Caenorhabditis elegans: one gene and its partners. The protein of the gene in region 4 purifies or fractionates together with the protein of the main gene of each other region. This does not show direct contact. Each region holds a gene or a part of one and is shown on either strand. Other genes may lie near its edges.

Region 1 (7,208 bases), on a different chromosome or scaffold from region 4:
GAGTATCCTCCTCCAGCAGCTCCTCCTTTAATTCCAAACGTTGGTCCTTGCGATGGCTGGCGTACACATGCGAACACCTTTTTGTGAAGATGAGCTCCGAGAGCTTGAACTAGTCCGATTGTCGTTGTGGATTTTCCTTCTCCAAGAGGTGTTGGCGTAATACCAGCAACTACAACGTACTTTCCATTTTTAACCTCGCTCAGTCTATCCAAAATGTCAAGAGAAACCTTTGCCTTCTTGCGTCCATAAAGGTCAAGCTCTTCTTGTTTGATTCCAATTTCCCCAGCTACCTGAAAATAATGAAGATAAGTTTTTTTTAAATTAAATATTCTTGAGTGCCTTTTCGATGTCCTTTGGTGGTTGAGCTCTCGAAATAGCAATATCCGATGGAACAGGAGTTAACAGGGTGGGCTTCAAGTATTCAACATTCCATGTGCTCTGAAATAAAAAATAATTCAACGAAATTATAATGTTTGATTTGGAACATTTAATCGAATTACCATTCGGTCAAATTTGCGGCGCAAGCAGCGTGAAAAATTGAAAATTGAAGTTGATGAAAAGATAGAAATTGTGACTTAAATGTTTATGGGAACTTCGATCAAAAATTCTTATTTTTTTATATTTTGATTCTTATCAATCAATAAAATAGATTGACAATAGTGATAATGTTGCAATTCGCAACTTGACTTTAAAAAACGATAAAACGCACGGACAGGTTTATCAGAAGAAAGTAACATATTTTAGGTTTTCCAGAAATGTATGACAACATATCAAACTGGGACATATTAAGTTTTTATTAGTCAACATAAACAAAAAAGACGCTTTTTCAAGATTAATTTCTATGTACATATTAATTTAACAGATAATACTCTTTTTTTTATCTTCAGACTCTTTTTTTTTTTGAAAATGTATTTTTACAGTGTGGAGTTATTATACACAAGTTCTGTTTTTTTTGCTCACGCTCAAAACATGAACAAATTATTTTTGTTATTTTTGGAGTTTTCAAAATTGCATTTTCCGTTTAAAAATCAAATCCCAAAACGTTAGTGTTACTTACCATGTTTCACAATTCAAGAGAAACCAATGAATCAACGAAAATAAAAAGCGAGTGATTCAAACAACTGCAGAGCGATGGCCACTAAATACAAACACCTTGATAAGGCAGTGGGCAGAACAAGTAATCGAGTCAGTATCAGATATTAGGAGACGCACAGAAAACATGCACGGGGGGCATTTGCCGGGTCTGCCTTATTGATCGCGTCCTCTGATTTGTTCGATGTTGCGTCGCTCTCGTGCATCTAAACATCTAAACTAACCACGTGCATTTATCGCGAGACCATGGTCTTTTTACAAATCAGGGCTAATTGTGTCCTTGGTCATTGTTTATTTCGGTGGAAAGTGACAATAAAAAGAAAATACAAATTGAAAAGATTAGATTAAAAAAAGGTATGAAGAGGACTTCAAGTTCCAGAACGTCACAACAAATTTTAAAGAGTAAAAAGTCAAACCAAAAAGCACATTATAAATAGTTCATTCGCAAATGATGTGGTGGAAGTGGGTGCTTGAAGTTCACTCATCATCGTCATCCTGAAAAGTAGGTTCTGTGAAATACAACACTTACAAATATTTTTAACATATTTTCAATCGATTTTGTGTGAGGCACACTATAGTTGCAGAACAACTTTACATTCGGTGTAAATAATGAAGACAATGTCCATGAAATTTGCTTGTTTCGTAGAGTTTATCGCTCAATGAATTTTTGAAGTTCTTTGAGTCGATAACGTGCTATCGGTGTCTTTTGTAATTTTTGAAATAAACTCTGGTGCATCAGTATCAACCCCACACGCAAAACAAACTGTTTGGCACTATCCACGCTTAGGCCAGAACATCAAAAAACCTGCACAAACTTAGTGTCGCAAAAGGAAAGCTATTTTACCTTTTGTCCAAGACGTCGTCTCTTAGCCTGCTCAAATGTGTTACGGATGAGCATGGCAACAGTCATTGGTCCAACGCCTCCGGGGACAGGTGTGAGGAATCCGGCGACTTCCTTTGCGGCTTCTGTGTCAACATCTCCGTAAATTTTGCGTGAGTTTGGGTCGTCACCAACGTTGATTCCACAGTCGATGACGAATGCGCCAGGCTTGATCCAATCAGCTGAAATATATGCTTTTATTTGTAAAAAACGCTGACACTTATCAGAACAGAGAGTCTGTTTCTATTTGATGCAAAACAATTCAGAAGTTGCAAACAGTCAGGTGCATACTAAACATTGATAGTTCTTAAATTGGGGTTTCTATTATAGATATTTTGCATAATTTAATGACTTACAAACTTTTAGGTTAGCAAGTAAATACCGTGCTGCTCATATAAAGGTCTACTCGTAATAACTTTTGCCAAGATTCTTCTTTTAAATGGATTTGGGCGTAATTATGAAAAAAGCAACGCGAAATTTGTTCAATGATGAATTCCAAAAAATCAGGATATAAAAACTTTCACTATTTTACTATAGTCAGATCTCAGCTCGGAATAACCACGTTTGCTGAAGTTGAAATCAATCTTTTGATATCTGTATGGCCAGTACTGTGCACTATCTCAAATTTAGGTTTATTGATAATCTACCTTTGACGAAATGTTTTCTCCCAATTGCCACAATCAAAATATCTGCTCTCAGGCATTTCTCCTTGAGATTTGGAGTTTTTGAGTGGCAGATTGTCACAGTTCCATGATGCCACAAGAAAAGCGCAGCGGCTGGAGATCCGACAATTTTCGAGCGTCCCAAAACAACCACCTCCTTTCCAGACACAAAGTTGGCATCACCAGTTGCCTGTTGAACCAAGTACAAGCATCCAAACGGAGTGCAAGGAAAGATCGTACGCTGGAGTTCTCCACGAGCCAAACGTCCAGCATTGATACGAGTCAGTCCATCGACATCTTTCAATGGGTCAATCAAGTCGATAACAGAGTCTGCGTCGATTTCGTGCTTGCAGTCCAGTGGAAGCTGAAATTAATAACTTGCTATTATTGTTTAGCTTCCGATGTTTTTTTTTAATTAACTGAGATGTGTTTTTTTTCCGTTATAAGTTAACATTTCAATATTACAACTTAATCCGTTATATTAACCTGAATGATAATTCCGTCAATCTCGTTGTCATGATTAAGAGCCATAATCTCTCGCTTCAAATCTCCTTGAGTGATGGTGTCTGGCAACTTAATGAGTTTTCCATCTGCTCCGATTTCCTTTGCTTTTTTCAGTTTGGAATTAATGTACACATTGGAGTCTGAACGATTTCCAACCTGCAAATTTTGAGACTTTGAGTTATTCAGTATAACAGATATCCCCTCGGATATTATTTGTCTTGTTACGAAATAAAAGCCGGTATCTCAAAAGTACACCACAACTACAAATTACGCTCTGCAAAACTTTCAAAATCTGTTTTGTAAGTATGCAATGCACTTATGTACGTCATGAACTCAAAACACAGATTGGACAGAGATTTTCATTTTCATATATTCAATTTAGAAATATTATTAAGTTAATAGCAATGCTTGAAATAAAATTATTATCAGTGGTAAGCTTTCATACCTGAACAATTGCCAATACTGCATGAAAATTTGGGTGGTGCTCACGGGTTTTTGCGATTTTCTGTCCGACATCGTGAAGAACCTTTTTTGAGTACTCGAGTCCACTGACGATCTCCGCGACCATTCTAAAAAATAAACAAAGTAATAATCAAGTTGAAAAATACGTCAAGAAAACAAGAAGGGGAAGAGTAAAGGAAAAGAGTACGAAACTCCTCTTGTACTTGGCTATTCATGGGAAGAGACTAGTGCAGAAGTCAGAGGACAAGCTGATTGGAAACTTAGCACATATTCACATTTCGATGGTGGGGGACAGAGTGAAAAAATAAAGCGTCGAAAAAGTTGAATATGCATAGCGGTCTGTTGTTTGTGGGGGAGTGATGAGAAGAGTTTTAAAACGGCCTGGCCTTGTTATCTTATGCTGAAGATCGCTATGATTTTATGTGTCGAGTGACTAGAGTTGCTTGTCAGCGACATTCTCATGGAAAATACATGTTCCACCGACAGTTTCGATGTCAAAGCTTCCGCATTAAACATGTTTGCTTGAAAATGAAAACAGTGTATCAAGGAACAAAATTCAATTTTTGTCACATGAAAATAATACTTTTGAAAGTTTTTGCTGCCTTATATGTTAACAATATATCAAAATAATGGACACAGTGCAGAAATGTCCAATACGAACGCGTGGCGGCGGACCATGAAAATCGATAACAGTCGGCGGCTGGCCTTGCATGCAATGCGCGCGCATAACACAGAAATCTTATCGGCATCCATACGACGCAAAATCTCTTTTTACCCAGCAATTTGCCGAGATAAAAACAATAATCATATCAACATTTTGACTACAATGGGACTGGGATCTTATCATGAAAACTTCTTACCTTGCAAATTTGAATGTGAAACTCATTATTTTTCTTATAAACTGGGAAACGTTGATTTTTAAAAAGTGTCTATTTCTATTAACCAGAAATCAAAACATGTTATTCTCAAATGTTTTTTTCAAATGATTTAAAATGAAGAAAACAAGTCTTATCAATAATGTCCTAAAACCTGCACAATCCAAATTATCGGAGCAATTGAACAGTGAAAATAATGAAGTAAATATTAAATATTAACATTTTTCAAAGGCGTACACAAAAATCATTTATTCAAAATCATTCTTCGATTTGAAAAACAACTAAATCACAGTATTTATATAAAATTTGCGAGAGATGGTGAGAAGGGATGGACAATGGGATTTCATATCATACAAAGAACATAAAATAAGATGTAACCGTTTTGGAATGTGCAACAATTATGGATTTGAATACAATTAGTTATCCTTTTTTGTGCCCTCGTCGCCACCATTGATAATCGAATCCAAAGACTCGGCTCCACGAACAAACGATTTTCTATTTCCATAATCTGCTTTTTCCGAGCTATTCTTTACCAGACGTCCAACAGTCAAGTACTTGAATTTGAACTGTGTCTCCCATTCGTTGGCGGTTTCCTGTAAAAATCAATTTAGGTTTTTTTGTTCACAATCAATCTGACCGAGGCAATATACATTTGAATTAGCTTCGATGTCATATTGATGACACAAAAAAGTTATGGTTTATGCCTGAGTTATGAATAAATACCACAAATCATAAAACAATGACTTTAAGGATTAAATGTTTATAACGAACTTTCACGTTCTTACTCATGAGAAAACTGCATAGCCTACCTGCTCGTCAGCAGAGATTCCAGTATGATCATCCCACTCGCTAGAAACAGCATTCTGGTCCATGGTTCCAAGCGCGCGGGTAGCGTCATGCCCGGCAAGTGTACCGTAGGCTTTTCCTGGTCCGTAAAATCCTTTTCCGCGAGTCACGTCATAGATAGTTCCGTTGAGTCCAAACAGAATGTGCTCATTTTTGACACCATCGTACTTGCGCAGCTCTTCAACTGTCATATCGGACATTGGCAATGGGGCGAGCTTAAGTTCAGGATTTAGAAAAAATACATGTTCATTAAAGAAGCTAATCAAATACTTACTTCTTTTGGTGGAGCTGGGAGCGGTTGCTCGGATCTGGTGAGCCAGTAGAAAAAGAATCCGAGAACGACGACAAGGAAGACCGCGTCGTACATTGTGAATTCAAACCAAGAGCTAAGATCCATTGTGACTGTACAGCTGAAAAAATGACAAACGTATAAAATTGAAACTCGAACATATGGTGGTCGTTGATAGATCAAACCATTAGTGCGAGGGAACCGTTAGAAGGACAAAACAATTCTAGACAGCGAGCCTCGAACTGGTTAAATGATCGCGATCGAGTAAGGGCACGCGCCTCCCACCTCGTCGATTAAACGGATTTATTTTATAGGTTTCAACGGATTGAAGCGGAAACGTAAGCAAAAAGATCAAAAGTTCAAACGTGATATTCACTACTTGTCTCATAAATTCAATGAAATAGCACATAGTGTGGCGGAGGTACTGTTGCGAATTTAAGAAAAGTGAAGTGGGCCCTCGAACTGAATGAAAAGTGTACTCTTCAGCAACAACAATAAATATAGTTTTGATTTTTCTCAAAACACAAAGTTTCAAAAGATGGTTCGGTGCAAAATATAGTAAAGTGTAATAGAAAATAAAAAAAACTTTTAGTAAAGTCTTTTGGTTGTCTGGAGACTTTGGAGATGACAAATGTTTACTAAACTTGATTTAAATTTTTTCTCTAGGGAAGTGCAAAAAGTCATGGAGTGTAAACACTAGGGGAAAATGTTTGTAAATAAATGAAATTTTAGTTTTTTTGAGTCTATGGCAAATATATGAAAAATATAATTCAAAAAGTGTAATCCAAAACAAGTGAGAGTTCACGAAAAATCATATTTCCTGAAACACTTATTCAACAAAATGATTTATGCAAAAAAGTAACAGAAACAGTATACATTTTGTAAAAAGTCAAAAACTAGTCACCAATAAAAACATCAAAAATCACTGCAACAGAGCAGGTGAACCCGTCGACGATGTGTGAGCGTCCTTGACTGTGTTCGTCGAACGCTAGGTCCGTAAGTTGCCGTCATTTACAGTGCAAGTGCACAAAGCGGTAAGAGAAAGAAGAAGGATTTGTTGTAAAATGAAGAAAACAAGATGTAAAAGAGAAAACGGAAGAAATTATCTCTAATTTTAGAAATTCGAAAACATGGTACATTATTTTCTCACAGATTTTCCCAGTTGCCGTCAACAATTATTCACTCAGCGATTGACGGTCGGAAATCGAGAAGAATGTGCGTTTTCGTCGCCTTATCGTTTCTATTTTATATTTGTCCCCTAATGTCTCTCGATTCTTCTTACTTTCACCACAGTCATCACAAACAATACGAGTAGTATTTGTAGCAAAGATTTTGTGGTTAGTGCCGTGGAACACACAATTTTTATCAAACAAATGTTTCACTGGGGTGCCCAAAGGTGAACAATGATTGTGTAAAAAAATAGAAACGAAGAAGAAAAAGAAGAAGTGAACCTACAAAAAGGAAAAGAAAACCCGTGCTCGGGCCGTTTTTGGATGGGAAATTGAAAATATTGCAACAGGGAGAAGCAAGAAAATGGGTAGTGGGAATTGAGGACGAAAAAAAGTTTCGGGAGAAAATTGAGTCAAGTCACAAAGCAA
Region 2 (6,044 bases), on a different chromosome or scaffold from region 4:
AAAGAAGCACTATCAGCTCTTGGATGGCCACTGTCTCAGGGAGCTATGTCTACAATTATCGCGGTTTCAGTTCTTGCCGATATTCCAGCATATATGATAGTTACTTTTTTCAAAACGGTAATTCTTTTCAATTTTTTTATTCTTTAACTTTTCTATTTTCAGGTCGTTCTCTCAATTTCTCTCGGTCTTCTCCATGGTCTTGTTTTCCTTCCAGTATTGCTCTCAATATTCGTACGTGGATGTTGCATAATCCCTAGCTCACCGCATGGTCATCCCAGCGCTCAAAAAATCGAAAAGGTTTGATCTGAAATTATCACTACATTCTCATTTTCCCATATTTCAGCAAATCAGGATCGCCGCTATCTCGTCTAGTCCACTCGATTTGCGAACCGTTGCTCCGCTCCGCGCCTCGTCACCAATCAGCTTCCCGCATAGGCTTGAGTACACCGATGAATCTCCAACTGTACACAACAGATCAAAGAATTCTATTAAATCCGAGCACCTAGACTAGTCTTTCTTCCAATGACTCTCATTAACTAATTGAATACGTGTATTTGTAGAATATTGTGAATGTTCTACGTTGTTTTTAAATATATGTGAATGAATATCTTAATTGAAATTTTAAATATTATTAACTCTCGAAACATTATCAGTGAGTCTAGAATGGGAAGGAGACATTTTTAGAACAAATCGGTCAAAAATAAGAAAACGGATAATTGGATATTTAAGCCAACAGCCACCTATTTCTCAGTGCTACAAATTTTTACCAAAAGCTGAGGATTAATATGCGTTTCTTGAAATTAAACTTTAATATTTTTCAAGTAGCGAATAAAATCACAATGAAAACCTAAACTAATAGTAAGCGACAGAATTTTTAAGATTTACAATCGGAAACTCAAAATCAACTTTCCCGTTCTGATGTTTCACTTTTGACCATAAGTTTTCAAATAAAAACTTAAACTAGACGTATTGTATTTTAGAATATTATTTGCATTTCGTTTGTTCGTTGGTAAGTCACTGTTAACTTTCATAACAAGTTTATGAACAGAGAAAATCAACAATTTACTTATTCTCCTCAGCGGCCTCTCTGGCTCTCTTCTCACGCTTTCCACGGTATTTCTTGTCAGCACGCTCCTTGCGGAGAAGTCTGAAGATCTCGACCTTGCGTTCGGCGTCGGTAACTTGGCGTGGCTCGTCGAAGGTGATGGTGTGGGAAAGTGGAAGGACATCTCCGCGAAGTTGGGCGGCAACCTTGAGCTCCTCAGCCTTAAAAATCAATATTCATATTATGCAGGAATTATTTAACAAACTGTTATCGACTAAGTTCAAAAATACTTTCAAACTTAATTAAATGCAAAAAAAAACTTACAGAGCTGTCTCCCTTCTTTGGTGCGCTAGCCTTCTTCGGGAAGAGGATAAGCTTGGCTTTGTACTCCTTGAGACGATCGGCGTTGGCCTAAAATATTGTATACATTTAATTTTCATGCAAAATAATTTATTACATACCTTAAGTCCCTCGGCGGTCTTGTTGGTTCTTCTCACATCAACGGCGATTCCGATGGTGCGGGCCTGAGCCTGGGAGATTCCGGCGGCCTTGAGCTCTTGAAGAGAGAAACCACGTCCAAGACGAGTCTTGGTGTTGTATCTCTTCTGTGGGCAACGGACGACAGATCTGAAATGAAACTATATTTAATGAAAAGACTAATTCTATCTAACCTGAGAAGTCCAGCAACTGGGCGAGGAGCGATTTCGACAGCCTTAGCTTGACGGTTCTGTCTTCTGCGGAGTTTGCGAGCTGGCTGGTCGAACCAGGTCTTTATGCGCTTGTGCCAGTGCTTGCGGAAATGGGCATTGCCCAACATTTGGTTTCCACGTGGAGCCATTGTACCCTGAAAAAAAGAAGTAAAATTGCGATTTTAGTTCAAACTAATGAAAATTGCGATAGAAATACAGAAAATAACTCAATAACAACGCAAAATTGCGAAAAAAAGCTTAAATAGATATTTTTAAAACAATTTCCGGGAGAAAATTTAAAAAATCAGCATATTGAATCAAAAAAGAAAAGAAAAAATTCAGAAAAATTCTATGGGTTTCTTCTTCACAGTGTTACAACGTTGAATACTCAGCCAACGAATTGGCTGCGGCAGCCAAGCGCTGCGAGACCTGCCTGTGTACTTGTGTCGATTTACGCAGGAACAAAATGTGTGCCTAATTTGTTTCGCAGTCTATAAAATTGAATATTTCCATTTAAAATAGTTAAATCAATAAGAAAGTGGTATTTTCAGTGAACTTAACTTTTCTGAAAATAATTTTTAATATGGTACATAACTTCAAACTACTTTATCATCTCTAAAAACTAGAAAGTGGAATTAATTTAATTCAAAAAATTACTGAAATTATTTGCTTTTGAATTTTAGATTAAAAAAAGTTAAATAAATAAATTTATTAATACAAAGATATTACTGGGAATTATACATTCGAGAATATAGACAAAACGAAAAGAAAAAGAAGTGCATTTATTTGGTCCATAGAGAGATCTTTGATTACTTTCCATGTGTTTTATCGTAGGAATCTTTATTCTTGTAAGCTCCAACATATCCAGTATTTTCTGTTGTATCCGCACGTCCTGATTTTCCTTTTCCTGAAATTACATATTTCTTTCGTGAATTCATTTTCTACAAATACCTTTTCCTTCGGCATCGAATCTTTCTTTATGGGCTCCAGTATACTTTGTGTGATCGGTGAGACGGCTGTAAACGCCGGCCGCATTGGCCTTCGCCGCACCTCCAACACTCGGCGCTTCCAATTTGGCCAATTTCTCTGTGATTGCGTCCAGTTCGTCCTGAATCGGCTTCTTACTTTGTCTCGCGCGATCCTCGGCGACAAATGCCAGCACTTTCTTCGTTTCGTCGAAAGTGGCCTTCTTTTTAGGTCTATAATAAATTTTTTAGTTAATTCGATGCAGACAGTAAAGTTCAACCCACCCAGTAACTTTGCTGAAAGCGATTCCGGTCATTGTCCCGGTGATGGCTTTGTTGTCGAGGACACCAGCATCCTTAAGCCACTTGTCGAAGTTCTTTCCAGTCATTTCGGTGGCGGTAGCAGCTCCGAATTTGGTGAACGCGTCCCATCTAGAAAATTAAAAGGTTTTGATGCGAAATTCTAACTCGAAACTGTGTGAAAAACAATGTTTTGTTAATTTTTTTCTGGTTACCAAAATTGAAATCGGTAAACTACTGGACTTCTTGCAAAGTTTATAATTTAAAATCCAAATAATTTACCTTTTCTTCACATCAGCATCATCCCAGTTGAATCCAGCAGCAGCGGCCATGATTTTCTGAAAAATAAAAGGTGTTTGTATAGTGAAAATAGGAATAACGACCGGAAAAGAATGAGCACTCGATGGCAACCATGGAAACATGGAAATATTCAAAGAGAGTTGAGAAAACTGCGTGAGAGGAGAGCATAAATCAAAAATAGGTGGAGCTCTATCGAGCATAAGAGAATTAAGAGAATCACGTGGCGGCAATATCTGCACTCGATTTCTGACTTTGTTTAGCAATTTGAGGAAGAAGAAGTATAAAAGCCCATGTGTCGGAAGGAATTGGCAGAAGCTGAGTGTGGAGTAGAAAGAGCACAATGGGGCGAGAGCCAAGATTATTATCTATTCATTCTTCGCGCAACGCCAACGTTGTTCCCTAATTGCGCCGTCCGTCAGTTGAAAAGCATAACGAGCCAAAGAGATTCGGACGGTGATTAGTGAAGTTTTGAACTAGCAGGAAACGGGTGAGAAAGTGAAGAGAGATAGGGCAAACGGCGTTCTTTAATGAAATGAGAAAAAAACTTCTCTCTTCCTCTTTTCAATCGCGTATTTCGACCTCTCTTACACCGGATAAATCATCAGTAGGACATGCTCTTTGTGGCTGAGAAATACATAAAAAGAAAAGAGTATTGCGAAATTCTCGAAATATAACTTTTCACGGAAACTCTCACTGCGCAAATTGCGAAATTGAGTGGCGCCGATGGGAATTCATGAATGCAATATGAACTGTTTTGTTTTGAAAACTTTTTTCAAAACATTTGAGAACTGAAGTAAACGGAAAAAGGACAGAAATGGGTGGAGCTTTCACTAATTGTTTGGGTGCGGAATCTGTTATTGATGGCGTTCTTTATTAGGCAATTAACGCAGTTTCCAATATTCCATTCTTTGAGAATGATAAATTATTAGTTGAAAGGAAATGTATAAAAAAGAGAAAGCTATAGCTTTTAGGTTTAGGTCTTACTGAGAAGAGAGAATTAAACTATTTTGTTTCCCATACATAAAACGGGCTGGATGAAAAATTCAAATCTCAAAAGAGGCGCCTTGTCCCTCCATCTTTTTCTTGTTTCTCTCGTCACCTGCCACTCCTCCTATGTGTGCATGAGAGTGCGCAGGAAGATAGTAAAACAAGACAACAAACATCGGAGGGAGTGGGGGGTAAAATTTGAAAATGAAATAAAATAACAGAGAGGTAGGAGTATGAGACGAGTTGGTGATGCAGCAAGAGGCATACGGACAGAATTCGCTGGGTTTACTGACTGGAGAGAGAGACGAAATGGGAACTAGATTAGCGACGGTCACGCCTGCGTCTCCACGATCTCTATCCATAATTGACAGCCTCCCTGTTTTGGACGTCTTCTTTCTCGCGCAGAAGCAGCAGTCAACTCGAAACTTGATATCTACATTGTGTGTGTGCTTTTGGAAGAAATAGGGGATTTGAACTCTGCTGTACAACTAAGGATCTACACATGTACGGAATACGTTAATGAACTCGTTTTGGGCAACGGAAAAACGTAGAGTTTGAATATTTTTCTGATTCAAACTAAATTTAATAAATATTTGTGTATACTTTTTTTTAATAAATGAGAAAGAATGATGGCGTCCAAAAACTTGGGGATTTTTCGTGGAAACGTCATGAGGATCCCTATGTTTTCAGTTTAAAAGAGTGTTGCTTCTGAAAAAAAATCTCTAAAAATTCTTGGAAAAACTCTGAAAAAATCCTAGAAAAAATCTGAAAATCCTAGAAGTGCGAAAAAACTAAGAAAATTAAGAAAACACATTCAATTTCGCAAGTTTTTATCGTTTCAGAATAATTAACAGTAAAAAACTTGAAAATTGTGAAATTAAAGCGATTTTTATGGAGAAAATAGCGTTTTGGCCAAAATTTTGGATGAAAAAATGTCAAAAACAAAAACATTATCCTACTGTACGCATTCAAGACGCACATCGTTTCAAACGCGGGTTTCACAGCGCTCGCCAGATTACTGTAGAAATTTTAACCATCAAGCCTAGATTTTCTTACGGCAACACGAGTTTGAAGAAAAAAAGTTGAAAAAAGTCAATATTTCTCCCAAACAAAAAACCGAGTAAGAAGGGTGTGTCAACATGTGAAAATTTGATAAGCGAGAAAAGCACGGCGAACTGATGAACACAGAAAATTCGAAGCCTCTACGACGACCGAGAAAACAAGAAAAAACGTAGTATAACGGAGATGACGGCCTGGAATGTAATGCAAAAAAAGAGAGCGATGGAATCGTAAAAAAGACATGCACATTATGTAGGCACGCATTTTGAATTCCGGCTCAGCACAAAATTGAGGCTTTACTCTTTTTTTGGTGAGCACTTGTGTTCAGTTTCAGATGGAAAAAACAAGAAATTGTGAATAAAACTAGTTCATCGAAGGTCTCTTGCTTGGCGTAGAATTGTTCATTACTCCTTCTCTTCCTGAAATATACTACAATAAAATCTGGAAAAAAGAGCTGCACAAAAACTTACAGGTTCTCCTTGAGCGGAAGCAGCAGCAGGAGCTCCTCCAGGAGCCGGGCCCATCGTCGAAGATTTTCCTTCGGCAGAAGTTGCTCCCTTTTTCTTTCCACCACATTGAACGAGCAGAGTGCTTCCAGAGAAGAAGAGGACGAAGAGGAGCGTCAAAAGTGAATACATCTCGTGTTGGTCAAGACTGTTCTTCGAGTTTAAACGAACCGAAAACTGATTGATAGAACTG
Region 3 (6,840 bases), on a different chromosome or scaffold from region 4:
CAAATGGACATGGTAAAATCAATTGTGAAAATATTTAATAAAAAAATTTTTCAAGCACTTACGGCTTCGATTTTTATTTCATCATCATTCCCAACAAAATCATCATTTCATCAACAGTTCTCAAATTATATTTAATTTTTCAAAACCGAATTGTGTTTAAATGATCACCTGTGGTGTGTTCAACCGAGTAAAAAAGAAGACGAAGCGCTTGAATGGCAGTGATTTATGTTTTTTTCTAAATCCAAGACGTGCCCAAAACAACACACATGCATATCCATATACTGCTCACCTCAAAAATCAAAATTTGGATAAAAAGTCTGTCTGCGTAAAATTGAAAATCTGCTGATACTAGAATATTCAAGGTTGCCGATAACTCAAAAACGATCGTTTTTATCACGCTATTCTAGAATAAATAATTCTGTGCACGGAGTTGTTGAAGCTTCTACAAAATTTTCTTCATTTTTTGATTTATTTTCTGCCATCCTGTGTCTGATGAATTTTGAGCCGTATTCAGTTGTTTTGGAATCAGATAACCCTGACTGTCCAATTATCAAGATTCCGCATTGTAAGTCGATTTTCTTTACTACACTTCTATTTTAAAAACATAAAAAAATGCTCAGTTCTTTTTTACATTTATCCTCTCAAAGTTAGTAAAAAGTGGTCAAGATTCAATTTCAACATTGTTTAGGACGCACACTTCTGTTATTGAATCTTTTCTTTCCAAGATGTTGTGCATTCACTTTTGGCACATTCTGAGCATTCATGAGCAAGGACCGAAATATTATCTACTATCGTGATCTCTACTATTACACTGTTATGTTTGCAGATGCAAACGGAAATGAAAACGGAAACGGAAACGGAATAATGAAAACGCCGCAACGGGAAACTGTCGTGAGCCTGGGTTTCACGGAAGATCCCATTCCTCCCAACAGTTATTGCTGCAATTCTTGTCATATTCAAGTAAGCTCGCATATAAAGTGTTCCCTTTTACTGGTTTCAGCAGATAGTCAGTTTTCAGATAAAGTAGAATAAGCGACTGCAAAAAAATGTGTGAATTTTTTTAAAAATTGTTGACTATAAATGTGATTTGAATAGTTTTTCTACGATGCAGATAATAAAAGAAAGTTGAAATATAATGTTTAAAAAACAACAACAACATTTCAGAAAGCGTGCCGAGCAGTTGCAGTATTTGCCTTTTTAGGATTTATCATAAACCTTGTTCTATATTTTATGGGCATCTCAAAACTCGGTCTAAACGGTAAGCACGTCACAATTTCTTGTTTATACCAACTATTTGCATACTTGTTTTGCTAAATTTATTCAAAATCCAATTTGTAATTCATTCATATAATTCTTTTCTCTATTTTTCTTTTTTGCAGGATATCTCGAAGCGTTCCTTCTTATATTCGACTGCATTTCTCTGCTGACTCTGTTTTGTGGTGTCTCAAAGCAACGTTCGGGATTGCTGAAGCCGTACTTGTTTTACAATGTATGTTTATTTTTTGCTTCGTTCTTTTTCATGAAACGTATAATTATGTTGCAGGTAATATGGAACTTTGGCATGATAATTTTGTTCCTGGTTTTTGTGTACCACATGTTGAAGGGAACTAGTGATGTATCGAGGTTTTGGGAACTAACAGACTCGGAACAAACTAAAAACAACTATATTTACAGGAACATCCTCGACAATCTTAAAGCTTTGCGATCAAATCCAGATGAGTATCACTTCCGATCAAGAGAAAGTGTTACCAGTGAGAACGATTATACTACTTGTGAATATTTATACTTCAAAATTTTTCAGCTGCAATCCTGGTCACACTGGGTGTGATGGCTGCCATGTCGTTTGTTATAGTCATAAATTGCATATTTTTGCATGTTGTCTACCGCACTTTTCAGTTTTTTGCATACCAGGAAGACAAGAAGAGAGAGGAAATGGATAAAAAGGAACGCTTATAACCTTTGCAATGTTTTATCTGAAATGTTTAACCTCGTGCTTTCTATTGAACTATCTCTTACACACAAACATTATGTTGATCTCTTATGTATTCCGAATTCATTTAATTTCCTTCTCGGGTGCTCGTCTGATTTTCATTTTTATTTTATATTGTGGATTTAAAATTTATTCACAGTTTCAACTCTACTGCAATAAAAATTATGTATACATACAATGTTCAAATTTCACTATTACAAATGCAATTCATAGTTTTCATTTTCATGCAAGATTCTTCCAATGTACAGTAAAACTATAGAGTTATTCAATTTACAAAATTAATTCATATTTATTTAGTATCAAGAAGCAATACAAATAATTATATTGTTCGAAATTTGAAAAAAAAATGTTTATGATAATTAAGATTTACTTTCCAATGAGAGCGAGGTTGGTTTTGATGACTGGGTCAATTTGTTCAAGCCAAGCGGCAACATCAAGTTCCTGAAAACAAAGTAATTCTGAACGTAACTACTAGTTTCTGCTACAAAAACTTCAAACGTTTGCCGACAAGACCCATTCACATACCTCGGCGATTTTGTCAAACATGTCGTTTAGAGCCTTGATATAACGCTCTTTAGCTTCATCTTGAGACACTCCTTCGAGCTCTTTCCATGAGTCCCTGGAAATCGGATTAACTGGGGTTGGTCAGGAAAATGCCAGTAAATACTGTGAGCCAGTTGGAATTAATTGTTATTTTTACATGGCTTCAACATCAATAGTCGCAACGTACCATTTTCAGACAAGTAGTTAAACTATTTTGAGTTATTGGAACTGACCCATCTAACTTTTTCAATTACTATTGTACATTTTATTAGAAATGTGTACTATTAAAAGTGCACTAAAAATCGGTGTTTGAAAAATTATACCAGCAGTCTGTTTAGAATTGCGATCTTAGCACTCCACACTTTTACAACTTTTTTTTTAGCGCCAGCCAATGAAATAAATAGAAAACATTACAAGATATACTACCTTTTTATGGATGTTTCAAAATCACGACTGTTATAATTAGATACGATCACTCGTTCTTTTGAAACTTTCTGATTTTAAATAATACTTGTATTTAAATTGCCTTTTTTGTATTATTGCCTTTTAGAATAAAACCTTCACTATCGCCAGCATTGAAATAATGTTCCACCAACACATATGTTTGATGGGTTCGTTCTTTTTATTCATGAACGAGTACTTGTGTAATATCAGTACACCAAAAAATCTTTTTAATTTTTTTCAAAAATACAATATGAGTTCTTTTTGAATTTTAGACTTAGGAAAAATCTAAACCTAAAAATGAATTGAGCATTAAAATGGTTATTTACGTTGTGGTCATTTTGGAATTTTATCCATTGCATACATTGTGGGATACAGTAACTACACAAGTACCCATGAACGGAATTATTTTTTGAATCCATGTTTCTACAAACGTGAAAACATTAATACAGGCTTCGTGTTATTTTTAAGGGGTATTTCAAACATAGTTTATGGTTTTGAAGAGACCAATGATCAGAAACGACACTCTACATTTCTTCAAAACTTTTTATTGATAATTTCACAATCATCCGTTCCTACTCGTTTTTTGTGGCACCATATTCGAAGAAAATGATAATTGCATCGTTTGCAGACACAACGCCGACATTTGTTGCATAGCGATAAGTTAATATATATTGCGGTCAAAAAATCAACACACATAACTCACGCAATTCTGATGCAGTTTAGCTAGCCACGCGGTCATGACTCATTTGTCAATGAAATAAGAAAAAAAGAATTCCCCTTTTTCGAATCAGACAAAGGAATAATGAAAAAAAAAACTGACCACTTCTTTCTCTCGATGATGGAGAAAATTCCTGGTCTATCGGTGTTCACATCTCCGATAGAAGCCTGTTTGAACAAAGAGTAAAAGGTAAGCTTCTGATCATTGCTGGTGGCAACTGGTCCTAGAAAAATTGTAAATTTAGCTTTGAATCAACTACATCATAGCATAGTTTGTAGCATTGTAGCGAATCAAAGTCCAACGTACCTGTTTTTGGAAGTTTCTGGATGATTTCCACAGCAGCGTCGAACTTTTCTTGAAGAGACATTTTCTGAAATAAGAAAGCGTTGAAATTTTTAGGTTAATGAATAGATTAAAAAGATTAAAAAGTTCGAAGCGGTTTTCAAATTGCAAATTGATTGACTTTTTCAAAGGCCTTGAAATAAACTACACCTATTTACTTAGTTATCAAACACGGTTTAAATCAAACAAGACATCAAAACGAGACTAGAATCCAAAAAGTACAAAACAGGGAGAACTGAACGTGAAGAAATCTGTGAGTAGTGCCGTTGGGCGCCGTCAGCCCGATCGGATTTACAAGGACAAACGGGCTGCTGCTGTTGACCTAAATCTTTTCCCTGGATATAAAGATGACCCATTCAGTATCGTGTCTTCCCGTGAACAAGACGTCATCTTTTTATCATTGGCGCTGGTCTTCGGGAAGGACAGTACAATTAATTGTCCGGAAAACTGCGGGTGAGAGATTACACTCATTTAAAGGATACCATTGGAGAATGGAATAGGATAATATCATTTTGAGAAAAAAATAGAATAAATTGAACTCAGGTATTTGACAATAGTAAAAACGTGTATTCTTATTGTTAGAATTTACTTCTAAATTGAAATTTATGTGGTTGCTGTACATCAAAAAATGTTCAAAAACCATATGAAATATTTCAAATCTTTTTAATATAAAATGTAAAAAAATTCTTTGTAGAAACTTCAATATACTTTCAAAATAAAATACACACGTACCAAAATGTATTTCACTTTTCTTGTAATATTCAGAGCATAACAAAAAGTGGGAAACAATCGAAAATAATAATAGAAAATAATCAAAGTTTACCATAAACTTCAAAAAAAAGTATAATATATTTATTTTATGAATTCACCGATTGTTGCCTTATTTTCTCTGTTGTTCGTATATTTTGCAAACTTTATGAAGACACCCAGTTTAAAAGAATTGAATGTTTTTTGAAATTTACGACTGTTTCCGATAAGTTACTCGTTTCAGACAGTTTAATTAAATCTTCAATTTTGCCAAATGCTTATTTGGATTACGTACTTATTAGTTTTTTTCTCGGATAAACAAGGAAAATACCTAGTTTGGAGTATAAATAATTTTTTAAACGTTAAATTTTTAGTAAATGTTTCGTAGATGAATTTTTGTCCCTCATAATGCTTGACGGTCGTCTTTTTTCAAGAATTACAAAAATCACATTAAAAGTTGAAAATAGGTTTTTAAAATATACAAAAAGATCATGACAAACACAATGATACAGACATCACATTAGATTTTTGACTATACAACGTGTTATCTGATAAGAACATGGAATTCAAGTTGCGTAGCTGCAGCAAACATTAGTGGCATGACGTTTTACTGGAAAGATAACCTTCCATGTTACTGCGACTAGTTTCAAATTTGGTGCTTAATGACCACGTGAGACTTTGTTGCGTGTTTTTATTTTGGTGGCTATGTTTTTCAAAAAATTTACCTGTCTGACAAATAGTAACAAACACATGGTAACTGATCAACCGTATTTATAAGATTTTAGAATTTTCAACAAAGTTAATTTTCTTTATAGAATAATTATTATAGTCACTGTTTTTACTGTGGTTGTATAATGTCGTTCTAAAATAAAAATAAAAAACTGTTCTGCTGAGTTCAGTAATAAAACTTTGTATTCATTTATACGTTTTCATGTTTTCGACGTTTTCATTTTTGTTTTCGTTTCCACGTTACGTTCCACGTTGTCACCTTTGTAGATGTAGAGATGATTTTGGTGCCTGCTCTGGCTGAAATTGAAGAGTGGTGTATTTTTGATCCATTACATTTCAAGAAAACATGTAAACTTTAAGAGACTTTAATCTATACATGTACATTGCCAGACAGTAATACTTTTTCAAAGATCAGTAAATACCCAATTGAATCAAACGAAGAAATATGACGTCTTTCTATCCACCCACTTATCCAATGCAAGACTCTGTCTATTCTCTCTCATTTTTTCTCACCCAGAGCGAAAAAATGCCTTTTGGTTTTCCAACTCTACGCTCATTTTCTTCTTCATACTCAACATCCTATCTGTTTGGCGGGAAGAGAGTCAAAGAAAAAAGGGAAATAGAGTTGTGTGTCTCACGTTGGAACGGCATGCAAGAAGGACACAACAACGCTGCACACTACACGCAGATGGGTCCTCTCTCTCTCGTCTTTCCCTCTGACAATTCCATTGATCCATCGTTGTCTGTCTCTATGTCCCGGGGAAACATAGAGAAGAAGAGAAAACCTTCTTGTTTCCTCGTTTACCCCTACTGATAATTTCATCCAACTCAACCTTTTTTCCTCTCGTTGGCCCCTCTTGTTTTGATGTGACATGGATGCACGGAGCTTGATTGCATCCAATTGTTATCAATATTACTTTAGTTTATTTTATATGTGATTATGGGAGTAGTTATTTTAAGAGGCCGAATTCCTTTTTTTATGTGAAATCTCGTGGGTTTCCCAATTTGAAATTAATGTTTTTGGCTAGTACGCTGTTCCAGTTTTTTGTTTAAATTAACATTTATTCCAACTGATCATGCATTTGAAAATACGAATATAAAACAAAATCTTTGATATTCCTGATCCCTCGGCAGTCTGAAATTTGAATTCCTATCTTTGTTTTTTTAGGAAAACCTTACAAGTAGCCTCTGATCGAATCCGCCATTTATTTATTATCAGTTCCCTTTCTGTTTGCACTTTTCCTGTCTTCACCTCCTCCGATACTTTGTACCTTATCTTTTCTGCGAACAATCTATTCTCCACTTTTTGCCCAACCACAACCACGTT
Region 4 (10,734 bases):
AATGATTTAAAACGCTATTTATTTAATTTCAAAATGTATTTAAATAAATTGGAATACGTGAAGACCTTATTCGAAATCTTCATGCCAACGTGGCCTGTACAATCCAGAGAATGTCCATGAAAATGCAGTCAATAAAATATGAAGTGGAATGAAGACAGCTTGAATTAGTAGGTCGAAGAATACATTTTTAAACTCCGATGAAATAGCAGTTTCGCATCCTGCTGAAAAGATTAAAGATTATCAAAAATATAGCTTTGATATAAAAATGATGGGAATAAGGAAGACAATCTCACCACTTTCGAGTTTCCTAACTTCTTCACCAGTACTATTCGAGGTAATTAAGTAAGTTTGTATACCTAATTGACGACCTGAAATTAGCTGCAGAATGTTCTGTCAAAATACAATTCACACAGTCATACACAGCTAGTGATTGTTATGAAAAACCTTTCGAGTAACTTTCGTTCAAAATTGCCAGAAATGTGATAGCTGCCCTCTAACAAAATAATTAGAAACTTACATGAATAAATTGTTGACATTTTTGCAAACCATATCTCAACAATGTGCCCCAGTAGATATCCGGTAACAAACAAACCGCACGCAACAACTGCTATCTGAAATTTTTTTGCAAGCATTATTTCTTTTCGTAAAAATATTTTTCATTTAAAAAAACACAATCAATGCGAGCACCGCTAAAGTCAGAATGCACTACCAAAAACTGTTTTCTCGCGGGACCCATCCTAAAAAAATTGTGCGCGCCTTAAGGAGGAGTTTTTAAAAATTGCTCTTATAGTGGAGAAATGTTAAAATATCATACTAAATATAATTTGAGAAAAGTTTTTCCCGTTTTTTATCTACAGTCAAAAATGGTGGAAAATAGGTTTCACCTATAATAAAATTGGTAGTCGACCAAAAATTTGTATTTTTTCTACGAGTTTTATAAAAGCTTTTATTGGGTTTCAATTGCTTGTTTTTAACATTCAAGATGTTCCTTTCCCACTGGTCGAAATTTCTCAAACAGTAAAATTTTCGGAAATACCAGTTATTTTCCAAAACTTTTCCTGTGATACTCGAACCAACTTGAAACTTACATTCATAAATACCACATATCGGAAGGTAAAATGTGTTTTGAACAGAATATCTACGATAATCAAAGAAGTAAGAATACATAAAAATGCAGTGGTTACACATGTCAATCCAAAATGAGTATTAGTTGCATTTTCTGAAACCGATGGAAGTTGATGTTTTAACTGAAATTATGCATTATTGCTAGAGATAATAATAGGGAAAAAACCATTAACGATTTTGCCACGAGATGAGTTGAGCATATTCCAAGAAATAATATTGGAAGACTCTGAAATTTTATTTGAAAAAAATCGTAAGAAACTCGAAGTAACTGGGATCAAATACTACAACAATTGTCATGTCCTACGTTGGAAATTTTAAAGAAAACTGTGAATGATTTTTCAACATGTTGTCTAGTTTTGAAATAAAAGAAAAACGTACTTGTACAAAAAATGGAATGTTCTTCGACATCGTCAGAAGAACGACTTTTTCGCTGACTCAACTGACACTGTTTCATGATACATTGTTTTCTTTTATACCGTATGTTTATATGTATGTTATTGTGTTATAGACGAATTTTCGATGAGACAAAATATGTGAAAATTTTTATTTAGAGTCAAAATATTATCTTCGAGTTCACCGTGAATTATATGATATTGCGCCAGAAGCCACCAGCTTTCAGGAACCGTTGGTAGGATAAGAGCCTCCAAGAAGTACGATGGACGTTTTTTTTGTGAGATCCACGTCGAGAGACAACACGAATTAACATAAGCAAAAGTACCATAGGGGTTTTTCATGCTTCTTCTCACGAATTGTTAAAATTTAGATTTTTTTATTCAAAAAAAAAAGGTTTAATAAACGCGTGCTGCATGCAACACTAACTTTCGGGCCCTTTTTTTTACGCGTGCTGCATACAACACTAACTTTCGAGCACTATTAGAGACTGCAGTATTATCAGAAAATAAATATGATGTTTGTAAATTAACAAGAAACCATCAAAAATATACAAAAACACACATTATTAGAGACTGTAGTACTATTGAAGATGCAGCGCTAATAGGAAATATACGGTATTTGAGAAATCGATAGAAAATCTGCAGTAACCAAAGTTTGCAACAACAGTACTCTTTAAAGACGCGCACCTTTTTCATTTATCAAAAATTTGTCGTGTCGAGACCGCACAGCATTTTTGGCGCCAAATTTCCTGTTTTTCTCGCGTTTCAAACGCGTTTTTTAGGCGTAGGCTCATTTTTGTCTTGTTACAAATCAAAAATTTTCATCTCCCGGTCTCCATATCTGAAATTGACCTTGATCGATGGCTTAAGCGCGCGAATTCTCCCTTCCAAAACACTTCTTGTTCATTTTGCATTCGTATTTTTGAAATAAACATTTCTTCGTTGCGCTTTAATTATTTTTAAGACCAAATTTCGCTATTTAACAGAGCTTTTTAGAAAATGTTTCCTTTCTTGTTCAGTACGCAGTTGACAGCCCCGTCGTTTTACGCGCGCGTTGCGTATCAAGCATGCCACTTGACGACATTTTTATTCGAACGCGCGGTAGAAAATAGTTTTGAAAAGCGCAACGGAAACCTTCTCGCTTTCGCACTTTTTCAATGAATATCAGTTGTTCCCATGTGAGCTCATCATTAAATTGTTTAAATAATTTGTCGTCGCAAGTTAAGCTTTTCAGTGTTTGTCGCACAGTGTTAAGCGTTTGTTCGAGATGTTTCGTCCTTTTTTTGAGATTTTGTTTCTTTGTGAAGCACTTCCATTATCTAATTAATCAAATTTATTATCTGCGTAGTGTTTTAGTATTCACTTGGCTCGAACAAAAAGTTGTATAAAGAATTCATTGATTTTTTGTCCTTTCTTTTTTTTTGCCGCGTAGTGCAACTGAGCCGGCCCGTCCGCCTCTGTTTCTCTGTTTGCGCTTCTTTTTGACGGGTTGCGAAATCGGTCGAAAATGGGCTTGCGGCGAAAAAGTTCCATGTGACCCCAATTACCCCTCGCAGTTCGAAAATATTGATTTTTTCCCTCTACGTTCTCCACCGGAAATCTATTGTTGAAATCTCCTTTCTCTTCAAAACTTATTTTCGTTCGCTTTCTTTGTTTATTGCAAGGCACGTAGTAAACTGTCATTTTTCAGATAATGTCCAATTGGGATTATCTGGACGAGGTGGATATCCTTCCCAAACTTCCACCGAACTTCGATGAGCTGCGAGAATCCAAAAAATGGCAGGAACGAAAAGAGGCATTGGAAGCACTTCTCAAAGTACTCACGGACAATGAGCGACTTTCAACAAAAGCTTCATATGCCGAACTTATTGGTCATCTGCAGATGGTTGGTTTTCATATTTTTCGGTCATTTCTGCAATCTCATTTTACAGGTTCTAGCAAAAGATGCAAACATCAATTGCCAAGCGCTTGCAGCCAAATGCATCGGAAAATTCGCAACGGGATTACGTGCAAAATTCTCTTCTTTCGCAGGACCACTTCTTCCCGTCATTTTCGAAAAAATGAAAGAAAAGAAGCCGATGCTCCGAGAACCTCTTGTAGACTGTTCCAATGAAGTCGGCCGTACAATGCAATCTTTGGAAACTGGTCAGGAAGACATTTTGGCGGCGCTGGCCAAACCAAATCCTCAGATCAAGCAACAGACTGCACTTTTTGTGGCTCGGCAGTTAGATTTGGTGGTTCCAGCAAAACAACCAAAAGGATTCATCAAAGCTGTTGTGCCTGTGTTTGGAAAATTGACTGGCGATGCAGATCAAGATGTCAGAGAGGCATCTCTTCAAGGTTTAGGAGCTGTTCAGCGCATCATTGGAGACAAAAACGTTAAAAATCTCCTCGGCGATGCTTCTTCCGATGAAGGGAAAATGAAAAAGATTGGGGAATATGCTGAAAAATCAACCGCTAGCTTCGCAGAAGAACAAGCTAAAAATGCTCCACCAGTCGCTCCCACTTCTTCGACACCTTCGGCAAGTGCTGCTTCGGGAGATCCATCCGGCGGAACAGCAACTGCTGTTGTTTCATCTGGAGCTCCAGTTGCGGAAGCCGATCCTTGGGATTTTCTTGACGCTTTCGACGTACTTTCCAAAATGCCCGACGGTTTTGATACCAACATCGAAAGCAAGAAATGGCAGGAACGAAAAGAAGCGCTTGAAGGTTTGCTTCAATTGATCACAGCGAATCCGAAGCTCGACCCAAAGGCAAACTATGGCGCACTCGTTGAGAGATTGCAGAAGGTATGTGTATTTTGTCCTGAAAAATTATTTTAAATTCAAATATTAAGGTCCTCGAGAAAGATGCAAATATCAATGTGGCTGCACTAGCGGCCAATTGTATAACTGGTATTGCTAATGGTCTCCGTACGAAGTTCCAGCCGTTTGCTGTGTCTGTGACTCCAATCATTTTTGAGAAGTTCAAAGAGAAGAAACCAACTCTACGTGATCCGCTGGTTGCTTGCATTGATGCAGTTGTTGCAACCACAAATCTCGAAGCAGTTGGAGAAATCGTACTCGCAGCGCTCGGAAAACCAAATCCAAGCATTAAGACTCAAACGGATCTTTTCCTTCAACGATGCTTCATGAAACTGAATTCACAGACCATGCCGAAGAAGACTTTGAAGACGCTGATCCCGTCGTTGATAAAACATTCTGGTGATTCGGATTCGGAAGTTCGTGAAGCATCATACGCTGCAATGGGAGCAATGATGAGAGCCATTGGAGAAAAACCTTCTCTGCAACTTCTCGCCGATATTGCATCGGATAATCTGAAAATGAGCAAAATCAAGGAGTTTCATCAGAAGGCGTTGGATGAAGCTGGGCCCGCAGAGATTGCTGAAATGGTCAAATCGATTCACAAAGCAGATGTGAGTTATTTTATTATTATTAACCAGCCGCTGACCGCGCCTACGGCGCGGGCAACGCCTGGCACCATTAAAAGTATTTGACACACATACCTTCAATCACTCAAAAAATTTCTCATCATGAAAAAAACTTGAAACACTTAAAACGCGGTTTACTGGCACTGTTACATGTATGTATTTTTCTACGACATGCATGTTTCAAAAATTCACAGACAGTATGAAAACTTTCTGTTATTTTTTGACCAAGACAGTAACCTTACAATACCACTACAGTACCTTGACATTATCCTCCACCGACTCCTAACCCAATACCTCTTCAAAGGACGAAATGCCAATTTTTCCAAAACTACAGTAACCCTACCGTATACCTACAGTACCCCTATAGTAACACTACAGTACCTTGACTTGATCCCCCATAAACTCCCGAATAACTACCTCTTCTAAAGCTCTAAGCTCAATTTTTCGGAACATTCCAGAATTTTCTCGATTTTTCTAGAAAGTTCTGGAACATTACAGAAATTTCTCGATTTTTCTAGAAAGTTCTGGAACATTCCAAAAATTTCCCAATTTTTCTAGAAAGTTCTGGAACATTACAGAAATTTCTCAATTTTTCTAGAAAGTTCTGGAACATTCCAGACTTTTCCCAATTTTTCTAGAAAGTTCTGGAACATTCCAGACTTTTCCCAATTTTTCTAGAAAGTTCTGGAACATTACAGAAATTTCTCAATTTTTCTAGAAAGTTCTGGAACATTCCAGACTTTTCCCAATTTTTCTAGAAAGTTCTGGAACATTCCAGACTTTTCCCAATTTTTCTAGAAAGTTCTGGAACATTCCAGAATTTTCTCGATTTTTCTACAAAGTTCTGGAACATTCCAGAATTTTCTCGATTTTTCTAGAAAGTTCTGGAACATTCGAGAATTTTTTCGAAATTTCCAGAAGATTCTAGATTTCCAGAATTTTAGAATTTTCAGAAAATTTAAATTTCCCGCAAAAATATTTTTCACAGAAAACTTAAATTTCTCGCCGAAATATTTTTCTCAGAAAATTTAAATTTCCCGCCAAAATATTTTTCACAGAACATTTAAAATTCCCGCCAAAATATTTTTCACAGAAAATTTAAATTTCCCGCCAAATTATTTTTCACAGAAAATTTAAATTTCCCGCCAAAATTTTGGGTCTTACCACGACGGGTCTCACCACGGTGGGTATTACCACGATGGGTCTCACCACGACGGGTCTCACCACGGTGGGTCTCGCCACGATGGGTCTCACCACGATGGGTCTCGCCACGATGAGTCTCACCGCGAAGGATGACAGACCCCGCCCACAATTCTCAGTGACTTTGGGTGTGACGTCACAGACTACAAAGACTACATAGACTACAAACTATGGAACAAACGGAATTATTTTTTTATATATAAGTAATGATAGTATTTAGAAGTATTCACTGATGATTTTTGTACTGCTTATTTGTAATTTTATTGTGAATGTGTTGTCAAATTTAGGCTCCGCCAGCTGCTGCACCACCGAAAAAAACAGCTCCACCGAAGAAACAACCGGAAGATGAGGAAGTGGTCGAGGAAGAGGATGAGGTGATTAAAATTGTGTTCTTATTTCCATATAGTAATTTGTATCGATTGTGTGGTCGTTTAAAACTGAAAACTTACAATTTTTTATTATTTTTTTTTCAGCCCCTGAAACCACCACCAGGCGATAAGAAGAAGAAAGTTCCCGTGAAGGAGAACGAAGAAAACGAGCCTCCCGTTGTTGCACCAAAAGCCGAACTTTTGCTCAGTGACAACGAGGATAAAAAGCAACGAATCAAGGAAGAGAAGCAATTAAAAGTAATTGCTTTAAATGAGTTAATAATCATACATTCTAATTAATTTGCAGTTAGTCAAATGGAATTTCCAAGCTCCGACTGATGAACATATCTCGCAACTTCAAACCCTGCTCGGAAACCAAGCGAAAGTGTCTCTAATGAGTCAACTTTTCCACAAAGATTTCAAGCAGCATCTTGCGGCTCTTGATTCTCTGGTTCGCCTTGCCGATACATCTCCTCGATCTCTTCTATCCAACAGCGATCTTCTATTAAAATGGTGCACTTTGCGATTTTTCGAGACCAACCCGGCCGCACTTATCAAAGTTTTGGAATTGTGCAAAGTTATTGTGGAGCTAATTCGGGATACAGAAACTCCAATGTCACAAGAAGAGGTGTCTGCATTTGTTCCATACTTGTTATTGAAGACAGGAGAAGCCAAAGACAATATGAGAACTTCTGTCAGGGATATTGTCAATGTACTTTCAGATGTTGTCGGTCCACTCAAGATGACACCCATGCTACTTGGTATGAGAGAAGAAGATCAATAATGTTCTAGTAATTTTTATTTTCAGATGCGCTGAAGTCGAAAAACGCTCGCCAACGTTCCGAGTGTCTGCTAGTCATTGAATACTACATTACAAATGCTGGAATAAGTCCGCTGAAATCGTTATCAGTCGAAAAAACAGTTGCTCCATTTGTTGGTGACAAGGATGTCAACGTCCGAAATGCTGCTATCAATGTTCTCGTGGCTTGTTTCAAATTTGAAGGTGATCAAATGTGGAAAGCAGCAGGAAGAATGGCAGATAAGGACAAGTCGTTGGTTGAGGAAAGAATAAAACGAACAGGAGTGAAACCGGGATCTGGTGTTGTCACCTCGCCGCCAACTGGAGGACCCAAAATTTTAGTGCCACAACAACAGGTTAGTTGTTTAAAATATTTCTCGTAATGAGTCAGGTTCCCTGAAAGATCACTTGAATCGGCCATACAGTCTTACGAGTTGGAAGTAAATAATATTTTTTTTTGTCTCAAATATTTGGAGTTAGTAGTGATTCCCTATTCGATACCCACGCGAAGTTTCGTTCAGTTTTTAGAAAACGAAAAATTACATGTTTTTCAGGGTTCGGTTGTTCGTCGTCCTGCTTCTCGATCTCGTACTCGTGAACCTGAACCAGAAGAAGTTCAAAGCGACACCTTCACTATACGACAAGACACAATGCCTCCAAAAACTTCATCTCGCTATGCACTTCGTGACGACGTCTTTTCGTCAGCCATGGGCCGTCTTGATGGCACTCAAGTCATCACTCCACCACAACCTGTCAATGGCTGGTCAAACAATACCTTCCAAATGAAGCGGACCAATTCTTCATCGTCGATTTCCTCCATAGACACTTCTGATCAAATCCAAAGAAGCATCAACAATATTTCGAGCAGTCTTGCAGATGTTGCTCAAGATGCTATGTTCCAGGTCACTTATGTTCTTAATCAACCTGAACAACGTCATCTTGTTGATCGACGTGCCGATTTGGTGTTTCGTGCATCTGCTGCTCAATTAGATTTGGTGATTGAAGAATTCAATGCTGGACGAGATGTCAGTGGAACTATGGACGCTTGTACGCAAATGCTTTTCATTGTAAGTTATATTTTTCATATGTCATAGTAATCAAGGGGAGTTCCGAAATATATCTGGCTCTCTTTGTTTCATTTAGTCATGCCATGTATATGTATATATCCAAATTTATCTTTTCAGTTGATGGGAGGAGTCGAAACTGAGCACGGCCTTGAGCCACTTAATGCGTCCCCCGACACAGTCAAAGCCATCATCTCTTCGGTCCTCAGATGTATCATCCAAATCGGTAACACAGAGTCCGGATACGGAATGGCAAGATCTCTCAATCGACTGGCAATGCGATTAATCTACAGAGTTGAGCTGTCTAATCTGTTGTGCGGATTGATTCTGGCAATGACTGAATCACTTCAAATGAACACCGGTATAACCGAACTTGTGTCGAAGCTCTCGTCGAAATGGTGTGATGAACTTGAAAAGAGAAGAGCTCAACTGAGAGCCTCGGATATAGTCGACTCATTCAATGCTTTCTACGTTTGTGCACTCACAGAACTTAAAATGGACATCAGCGATTCACACATTTTGATAGTTGATAACTATTTGGAGCGGGTTATCCTTCAGCAAGGAGACGTCGTCTTGGATGCTGCCCGTCGTCTTTCTCGACCACATATGCACTTGACCAGTATGATCAACAAGATTTTACAAATGATGAGAGAACGAAAAATTGATCCTATCATGCCTGGAACATTGGAAGCCAGAATGCCACAAGAGGATGAAGCAGTTGTAGTGCGAAGCGGCGTTCAAGTTTCGATCGACAATATTCTGCGTGATACCTCGATGGCAGTTAAACATATTGAGCAACTGAATATTCTCATTGCATCCAGTGACCGATCTTGGAATGAGTATATGGAATATCTCAAAAATAATCCAATGGGAGAGCTCATCAAGGAGCTAGTCGGCGAGTGTTCCAGAAAGAAGAGGATTGACTTTAACCTCTCTCATGTCGTTAAATCGTCAATGGCAGTTTTCAAAGCCATGGCAGCTACTGGTCCTGTTCAAGAGGAAGGTAGAATAACTCCAACAGATATAAACAGAATGGATACTATGATTGTGTAAGTTTCATAAGACAAAGAACGTAATTTAGCTCTCATCTCATATTTTGCCAAACTAAAAAAAACTAATTTTCAGTGGAACACCTCTATCTCGTGGAGACGCAACCATCACTCGTGCGCGTGGAAACATGATCCGTCCAAAGAGAACCACATTGAGCCGAGACCAAATGGCGAACATTCGTCATACACTGGACAGAGTCAAAAATCATTGATAATTTTATCCCTGCCCCTTAAAGTGCATAACACGAAAATAACGAGTAATTTCTTACACCCGCATTTTTACTGGTATTTTTTAGCTCTATGCTTCAATTTTATTTGCTTGTGAAATGTATTTTGTATTGTAAAATCATTTTGATTACCAGAAGAATTTACTGATCTGGAACTTTAATTTATTGATTGATATTCGTGGAAGAGCTCGGAAGTATTTCAGTTTTTTAGCGCTTATTTCATTCCCGGAAATAAATTTATTGTTTAACTTTTAAAAAATAACTTCAGCAAACAGACTCTCAATAAAAGGCGGATTAGCGGATTTTATTTGAGAATTTCGGTTCGATGACTGTTCTATGGAAATACATGAGAGTTTCGCTTTAAAGGTTCTGATTTCCAGAAATTTATTTATTTTTTCCATTTATTAATTAATAATATATTAAATTCCAAAAAAAGTATTGTCCGCAATGTGGCGTCACCGTGTACACCTTGGTTGGTACTAAGGACACCGAATTTGCCGACAATCCAAATTAATCCTATTTTCTTTTCGGTCTTCTTGATTAATTTCTCTAGATTTCCATAGTTAATTCATTATATTTTCAGCGAAATGCCAACTGTGGGAATCAAGAAAGTCATCCTTGACAAGCACTTCAAGCGAGTCTATTGTAAGTTTCTAAAAAAAGCAGTGTAGTCTGAAAAATGTTGCTACTGGAATTAAAGTAGTAAAAGCAATGAACGGATATCAAAATAAATTCGTAGTAAACTACATTGTTTGTATTACCAATAATGTTAAATTTTCAGCGGAGAAGGAGTTCGACGAGCTCTGTTTCGAATATGGCTTGGAGTTGGACGAAATTGTACGTTTTGGTTCAAATATTTGTTATCATATTTTATTTGCAGACATCTGAGAAAGCCGCTGTTGAAAAAGAGCAAGGAACAAGAGCTGCGTCTGATTTGAATGATCAAGAAGTATACAAAATTGACATTCCAGCAAATCGCTATGATTTATTGAGCGTTGAAGGGCTGGCTCGAGCAATTCGTATTTTCAAACAAGAAATCCCATCACCAGCATACAAATATGCCGATGTGCCAAAGACTGG

The links.
Region 1: the proteins of zyg-9 (region 4) and dao-3 fractionate together in Caenorhabditis elegans (co-fractionation; one large-scale study listed by BioGRID). This does not show direct contact.
Region 2: the proteins of zyg-9 (region 4) and tppp-1 fractionate together in Caenorhabditis elegans (co-fractionation; one large-scale study listed by BioGRID). This does not show direct contact.
Region 3: the proteins of zyg-9 (region 4) and acbp-3 fractionate together in Caenorhabditis elegans (co-fractionation; one large-scale study listed by BioGRID). This does not show direct contact.

What each region holds. Positions count from the first base shown.
Region 1 is NC_003284.9:8,082,844-8,090,051, forward strand, and holds dao-3 (C-1-tetrahydrofolate synthase, cytoplasmic), read right to left. Parts: upstream 3,708-7,208; 5' UTR 3,707-3,707; coding exon 3,584-3,706; intron 3,295-3,583; coding exon 3,121-3,294; intron 2,999-3,120; coding exon 2,620-2,998; intron 2,155-2,619; coding exon 1,937-2,154; intron 1,588-1,936; coding exon 1,570-1,587; 3' UTR 1,367-1,569; downstream 1-1,366. Other genes in the region: K07E3.4 (formate--tetrahydrofolate ligase), read right to left, coding at 1-290, 340-438, 1,058-1,060; Protein vem-1, read right to left, coding at 4,892-5,068, 5,285-5,536, 5,596-5,718.
Region 2 is NC_003279.8:3,783,881-3,789,924, reverse strand, and holds tppp-1 (Tubulin polymerization-promoting protein homolog), read right to left. Parts: upstream 3,338-6,044; 5' UTR 3,332-3,337; coding exon 3,282-3,331; intron 3,132-3,281; coding exon 2,985-3,131; intron 2,934-2,984; coding exon 2,686-2,933; intron 2,642-2,685; coding exon 2,544-2,641; 3' UTR 2,429-2,543; downstream 1-2,428. Other genes in the region: ptr-2 (SSD domain-containing protein), read left to right, coding at 1-117, 163-297, 344-511; rpl-13 (Large ribosomal subunit protein eL13), read right to left, coding at 1,063-1,266, 1,370-1,456, 1,507-1,672, 1,717-1,883; C32E8.4 (uncharacterized protein), read right to left, coding at 5,750-5,764, 5,816-5,983. UniProt on the Caenorhabditis elegans protein: Regulator of microtubule dynamics.
Region 3 is NC_003284.9:10,900,503-10,907,342, reverse strand, and holds acbp-3 (Acyl-CoA-binding protein homolog 3), read right to left. Parts: upstream 4,072-6,840; 5' UTR 4,063-4,071; coding exon 4,002-4,062; intron 3,919-4,001; coding exon 3,798-3,918; intron 2,610-3,797; coding exon 2,516-2,609; intron 2,432-2,515; coding exon 2,357-2,431; 3' UTR 2,255-2,356; downstream 1-2,254. Other genes in the region: F47B10.8 (MARVEL domain-containing protein), read left to right, coding at 827-960, 1,165-1,258, 1,380-1,489, 1,544-1,623, 1,675-1,751, 1,802-1,956. UniProt on the Caenorhabditis elegans protein: Binds medium- and long-chain acyl-CoA esters with very high affinity and may function as an intracellular carrier of acyl-CoA esters.
Region 4 is NC_003280.10:8,454,611-8,465,344, forward strand, and holds zyg-9 (Zygote defective protein 9), read left to right. Parts: upstream 1-3,207; 5' UTR 3,208-3,210; coding exon 3,211-3,402; intron 3,403-3,448; coding exon 3,449-4,306; intron 4,307-4,353; coding exon 4,354-4,932; intron 4,933-6,434; coding exon 6,435-6,521; intron 6,522-6,620; coding exon 6,621-6,773; intron 6,774-6,822; coding exon 6,823-7,276; intron 7,277-7,323; coding exon 7,324-7,670; intron 7,671-7,868; coding exon 7,869-8,381; intron 8,382-8,498; coding exon 8,499-9,427; intron 9,428-9,503; coding exon 9,504-9,639; 3' UTR 9,640-9,902; downstream 9,903-10,734. Other genes in the region: F22B5.6 (Serpentine Receptor, class J), read right to left, coding at 67-221, 294-368, 518-611, 1,089-1,247, 1,292-1,351, 1,504-1,533; fars-3 (Phenylalanine--tRNA ligase beta subunit), read left to right, coding at 10,242-10,299, 10,436-10,491, 10,535-10,734. UniProt on the Caenorhabditis elegans protein: Plays a major role in organizing microtubules and spindle poles during mitosis and meiosis in one-cell stage embryos. Required for default nucleus positioning in oocytes.